2 separate regions of the Mus musculus genome follow, and region 1 is reported to be linked to region 2. Evidence: microRNA targets listed by miRTarBase, many of them from high-throughput screens and not tested one by one. Region 2 holds a microRNA gene; the other region holds the end of a gene's coding sequence.

Region 1 (3,436 bases), not on the chromosome of region 2:
GGCAACTGCAGTGGAGCCCAAAGACCTGTGCACTCACTAAAGACTAATGTGGATGACGCTACTTATGTCATTTCAGTCGGGGAAACAACAAAACCAAACCACAAACAATAACCAGTTTATGGACTTGAGTAATATAATAACTCTTTATGGTACTTTGAAATATTTTTGTGTCTATTACTTAGTGAAATCTTTCCAACAAGTTTATGAGGTAAGTTGGAATACTATATCGTATCATGTTAATTTGGTAAGTTAGGAAATGGATGCATAGAATAATTAAGTAAGCTTGTGGGACTGCACAAGGAAAAAGCCTACTTATCAAGAGACTGAAATAATATCTAATTAGCTAAAAATACAAAATAAAAAAACACCTGTCTTTATAAAGCGGGACCTGGGCGGGCCTTTGTTGTGTGATAGTTTATCACTGCTAGTTAGTTTGGTTTGAGGTCATTCAAGATGCTTACCAACTGACTAAGGTAAAAGGGCTTACAATATATTTGAAAATTAAGAGTTTAAAAGTATTTCTGGGTCATGCTTCTAAACCAAGGCTGGAAAAATACAAGTATCCTTACCCTTGTCTAATTCCGAACCTGCCTAGGAAGTGTCAGAGTGGCGCTAATCTCACTCTCAAGGCATGACCTGAAATTGGAAATGGGTACCATCTCTCCCCTCAGTCACTGGAAAGCTTCAAGGAAAGGATTTTCTTCACATTAAAGACTGAAAACACCTGGTGCCTGTAAACATAAGGAAATGATTTGACAGAGAAGAGCATTTTGGGTTGACCTAGGGATGTTCTTCCTACCCTTTCAATCATTTTGGATTTCTTAATAACCCAAACAGGAGTGCTTTAGCATTTTAAGCTTGTTTTCCCTGTACTTTCCCTGTACTTGCTATGTATGTTCAACAGTTTTGTACCTCTGAGCAAGAAAAGTACAAAGATTTATCTGTCATATAAAGTATCACTTTGATGATGTACACTAACTAGATCTAGATGTATTACAAACAGGAAAAGTGGTACAGGGGTCAACAGCAAACAGACAAACATCAATTTGACTTTTATATGTTAAAAGTGATCAAAAATGATGGGCTGCCTATGCATTCTCATACAGGTAAACCACAAATCCTGGTAAAACAGAAGAAGTACAAATGAGGAAAAATATTTCAGGAAAGAAAACGGACGCTCTGTGGTTCAGAACCTTACTGAAATGTGTGCATACAAAATGGTACAAAGATTAACAGCGTGAATGACACATCAAAGAATACTTACTATTTTACGAAGCCTCTAGTATAGTAAAATACTTACCAAACTGAATGTTCATTTGTTTATGAAATTTCTCATCAATTTGATACCAAAAGAGTTTTTAAAAAGCAATTATGAGGAGTATGATGGCCAGATAAATGTGTTTTATGTATTTAGGTGATCAGAAAATTGAATATCTATTCTATCCCATAGAATCACAAATAGGGGTGCCTTTGGAAATGCATTACATTTTGTTACAATTTTCAAGTTAAGTTGGTGTGAATTTCATGGTCACTTGTTTGTAGACATTTCATCATCCACATTTAGTGGTAGAGATCATAGCATTGCTTGCTGGCACCTTTGTCAGAGTACTGACAATATTCTATCCAACCCTTTTAAATTAAAATAAATACTTCCAGATGAGAGAGAAATTATCCATTAGATGAAATGGTGTGGAGGACAAAACTGAGTATCTCATGAAAATGAACTGCTATTAAGTCAAAATGGATTTCATGAGGAACAAAAACTTGATCATTTCATTACTTTCTATAACTTAAAAAGTTTCTAAGATCAACATTTCTAACTAAGGATGGTAGTGAGGAAAACACTTCTTTTTCTTAAGATTGTGAAAAATAAAATGTCCTGTATACTTGCATCAGGAAACAGATTTCTACAGAGCTTTCTAGAAACAACAGCAAATGAACTGAGGTTAAAAGGCTTGTTTAAAACTTGCCTGGCACGCAAGGAAGGGAAAGATAGAGGTGGAGACTATTAGTTTTATTTTCTTCCTTCTTAAAATATTAATCTTAGAAAATTCTACTAGAAATTTCTCAGAATTATAGGACAAGCCTGAATTATGAGGAGAATGAAGCCTACCTTCTGAGCAATTCATATTTTAAACATTTAGATATTTGTATGAGCTTCCATCGTTTTTGATGTTTTAACAGTTGTCTCAATCGATCCTGATCCCTACTTTCTTCAACATGTGGAATGAAACACGGCTTTCCTAAGTAACTGTACCAATGGATCCTAAAGTCCCAAATGTAGGCCCTTGAAACAAAATGCACATTGCATGCCAGAGTGGCTACAGTTGGTTATGTACAAAAAGTCTTAGTGAGGTGAAAATGGAACATACCAATAAAACAAACTTAAATAGCTCTCCTATAAGCTATAATTGGAACAAAGTTGTAAAATCCCTAGGAACCTATCCCAGCTATCATGGTGACTCTTGTATAAAGCTATATTCAGTAGTAGTAAAGCATTAGGCTACTGAGACAACAGGCTAGGAACTAGAAAACGAGCATTTCTCTTCATTCTAATGATGAGTATGACCAGCTCAACTGAAACTTCAGGGATACTGTGTCAATCAATGAAATGGCCAGTGAGGATGCAAGAACAGAACAGAGTCAAATGCGAAACAAACTGTGGGGTAGTAGGCTTCTTTAATGCACTCAAAGCTGCCTCAAAGCCAAGGGGTTTATAAAAGGTAGCAGCTCACAGGGAACTGACAGCTAACTTCGTGCCTTAGTCCCTGCGCAGGGCTCATGATGTGTGTGAAGGCTCATTACTTGTCAGAAGCCTCGGGTCTCATTAAGCAGAGCACAGATCAACAGCAGTCCAGATGTCAGTGGCCTCGGGGATCACTTTACTGGTAGTAGGCATTACATCTTGCTCTGTGCACGCCTTTAAGTCTGTGTCTATCCTTCCTACTGGCTCGCTGGATTTTCTCCTCAGGGAGGACCAACAGGCACACCTGAGAAGTGCCCTAAAGCTTTCCGAAACACTGGAGGAGAAGAGCTTTTTGCAAGGGTGGAAAAACTGATAGAACACAAGCATGAAGAGAATGCCAGTGCAGTACCCAATAAGCAGCTGCAAGATCAACAGAGGCGCACACACATACATGTATATGTCAGTTTTAAAAAAATACCACAGGAGCAGGAGGACGGAGTTCTCGATGAATCTCGTCATGTAGTAAATGAGCAGGCGGTACCAGTTCTGGGACTTGCTGATGAGCTCCGGATTGTCGATTTTCAGCTGAACAGCTGACCAGCAGAACATGTTGATGCCGGCATAGAGTAAAGTGAGGAAGCAGAGCACGATGGTGGTACCCACCCTACTTAGGGCCTTCTCTATGTTCTCAGGGAATGGGGAGCCACTGCACCAGAAAACGATCCAGGGATATAAGAAGAAGCTGAAGAA
Region 2 (3,436 bases):
ATCAGCATGGGATTCATCTTATGCCCACCAAAAATGTGCATGTGTGTATAGTTGTGTGCATATTCACTTCTCTATATGAATATGCATATACACGCATGCAAACACATTCATAGGAATGGCCAGAGCTATGTCTCAGTTAGGCGGTGAGTATGCTTGCCAGAGCTAGGAGGATGAGGAGTTCAAATTCATGTTTAACTTCTTGATGTGTTAGTGTTCAGCATGCGATTCATGTGATGCCCACGAAGAATGTGCATGTGTGTATAGTTGTGTACATATTCACTTCTCTACATGAATATGCATATACTCACATGCAAACATACTCACACTAATGGCCAGATCTTTGACTCAGTTAGGAGGTGAATACTCTTGCCAGCATCATGAGGATGAGTAGTTCAAATTCATGTTCATCTTTATGGTGAGTTAGAGATCAGTCCAGAATTCATGTGATTTTTCCCTGTGTATGTGTTTATGTGTAAAAGGAAGTGTGCCTGTACATGCGCGTATATGAGCATGCATATATATATATATATATATATATATATATATATATATATATACACACCCACACAACTAGGGACACATACATGTGCACACATACACACATGGCAGTCATCCATTTGATTTATACGTGCTTATAATTTCATTGAGTGTATATTCATGGTATAGGGAATAATCTCACTTATCAGATGAAAACCACTTGCCAGAGTTAGGAGTCTCAGGAGTTCAAATTCATGCTTAACTTCATAATGAGTTAGAGATCACCCTGTATTTGTGTGATGGATCCTAGGTATGCACAAGTGCATATAATTGTGTGTGCACGTACATGTGTGTATATGATCATACATATAAATACACACACATACAAATGTATTCACACACACAGGCGTGCACACTCACACACATAAGAATGACACTCATTGATCCATTTGAATGATATATGTCTTAGAATTTTGCTGATTATAAAGTAGAGGGACAGTGAAGGTCTCACTCACCAGGTGTAAATAATTGGCAGTGTCAGGAGGATCAGGAGTTCAATTTCATGCTTAACTTCATGAGCAGTTAGAGATCATCCTGGAATAATGTGATGGCCCCTATGTATGTGCCCGTGTGCGTAAGTGCCTGCATGTATATGCGTGTATATTTTATGCATATACATACACACACCTACACACACATGCACACAGACATGCGGAAATGGCCTTCACGGATCCATTTGAATGATATGTGACCTACTGCTTTGGAGGTTATGTATGACTGGGCCAGGGTGAGGTCTCACAAACCACGGGAAAACCCTTGGTAGAGTCGGGAAGATCAGGAGTGCAAGTTCATAGTAAAGGCATGATGAGTTAGAGGTCATCCTGGCATTCATGTGATTGCCCCTGTGTATGTGTATATGTGTTGATGTGTGTGTACATGTACATGTGTGAATATGATATACAAATACATACACGCACACATAAGACACATATGAGCACACAGACACATGGGAATGGCACTCATCAATCCATTTGAGTGATAAGTGACTTAGAGTGAAAATGCTTGCTAGAGTTAAGAGTATCAGGAGTTCAAATTCATACTTATCCTCATGAGAGATCAGCCTGTGATTCCTCCATGTATGTGCATGTGTGTATAGTTGTGTGTGCATGTTCATGTCTATATTTGAATATACATAACATACACACACACGTATAAACGCAAGCACACATACACAGATACAGGAATGGCATTCGCCAATCCCTTTGAATGATAAGTGATGTAGAGTTTTAGCGATTATGCAATAGGGGACATTGAATGTCCTCACTCACCAGGTGTAAAAGATTGACAAAGTCAGGAGGATAAAGATTGCAAATTCATGCTTAATTCAGTTAGAGATCATCCTGGTATTCATGTGATGCCTCCCATGAATGTGCATGTGTGTTTACTTGTATGTGCATTATCTCTGTTGACATGCTATATATAACATAAACACACGTGTATATGCAAGCACACACACACACAGGAAAAAATTGCATTCATTTATACGTTTGAATGATGTGTGACTTAAAGTTTTCAAGATTATGCAGTAGTGGGACAGTGAATGGTTTTACTCACCAGGTGTGAAAGATTGTGGATCAGGAGTTCTAATTCATGCTTTACTTCATGATGACTTAGAGATATGCCTGGGATTCATGTGATGCCCCCTATGTATCTCTATCTGTATCTGTTTCTATTGTGTGTGGATTTGAGTATATGGATGTACCTATCTACACAAATATATACATGTACACAGACACAAACAGAAACACACACACAAACATCAGTGCAACTCATCGATCCATTTGAATGATATGTGATTTAGAGTTTTAAGATTCCTCAGTACTGAATGGGGAGAGGTCTCACTCAGCAGGTGAAATCCCTTGACAGTGTCAGTTGGATCAGGAGTTCAAATTCGTGCTGAATTTCATGATGAGTTCATGATTAGCATGGGATTCATCTTATGCCCACCAAAAATGTGCAAGTGTGTATAGTTGTGTGCATATTCACTTCTGTATATGAATATGCATATACACGCATGCACACACATTCATAGGAATGGCCAGAGCTATGTCTCAGTTAGGAGGTGAGCACTCTTGCCAGAGTCAGGAGGATGACGAGTTCAAATTCATGTTTAACTCACATTGAGTTAGAGATCAGCATGCGATTCGTGTGATGTCCTCCAAATATGTGCATGTGAGTATAGTTGTGTGCATATTCACTTTTATACATGAATATGCATATATACTCATGCACATACACGAATGTCACTCATATATTTTTTTGAATGTTATGTGACTCAGAGATTTAGAGCTTATGCAGTACTGGTCCAGAGCTATGCCTCAGTTAGGAGGTGAATACTCTTGCCAGAGTCAGGAGGATATGAAGTTCAAATTAATGTTTAACTTCATGATGAGTTATAGATAAGGCTGTAATTTATGTTTTTGCCTCTGTGTACGTGTATATGTCTATAGGTAAGTGTGCTTGTACATGTGGGTATATGTATATGCATATATATACACATATATGGACACATACATGTGTACACAAATACACATGGCAATCATCCATTTGATTTATATGTGCTTAGAGTTTTATAGAGTGCATATTCATGGGACAGGAAACATCTCATTAATCAGATGCAAACCATTTGCCAGAGTCAGGAGGATCTGGAGTTCAAATTCATGTTTAACTTCATGATGAGTTAGAAATCGTACTGGATTTATGTGATGGACCCTAGGTATGTGCATGTGTGTGTAACTTTGTGTGAATGTACATGTATGCATATAATTATACATATACATACACATGCATGCACACATACAGACTTGAATACTCACACACATAAGTATGACTCTCATTGATCAATTTGAATGATATATGTCATTGAATTTTATTGATTATGAAGTAGAAGGACACTGAA

What was found. Region 2 holds the annotated microRNA mmu-miR-669a-5p (AGUUGUGUGUGCAUGUUCAUGUCU, at 1,632-1,655, shown strand). A microRNA usually pairs through its seed, bases 2 to 8, with sites in the 3' UTR of a target mRNA and lowers its output. Matches are read on the target gene's strand: a 7mer-m8 pairs with bases 2 to 8, a 7mer-A1 pairs with bases 2 to 7 and ends in A, and an 8mer does both.
Region 1: miRTarBase lists Xk as a target of mmu-miR-669a-5p. Seed matches in the 3' UTR shown: 8mer at 402-409.

The regions. Positions count from the first base shown.
Region 1 is chrX:9,309,141-9,312,576 of GRCm38, reverse strand. It overlaps Xk (X-linked Kx blood group), which reads right to left. Exons shown (of 3, transcript NM_023500.2): 3 at 1-3,436. The coding sequence ends at 2,828. Among named protein-coding and RNA genes, the nearest start is that of Gm25481, 7.0 kb to the left of the region's middle.
Region 2 is chr2:10,502,175-10,505,610 of GRCm38, forward strand. It overlaps Mir669a-12 (microRNA 669a-12), which reads left to right and starts at 1,617; the gene lies at 1,617-1,703. The region is part of intron 10 of Sfmbt2 (Scm-like with four mbt domains 2); the gene reads left to right. Mir467a-10 (microRNA 467a-10) reads left to right here and starts at 1,099; the gene lies at 1,099-1,181. Mir466b-3 (microRNA 466b-3) reads left to right here and starts at 1,391; the gene lies at 1,391-1,471.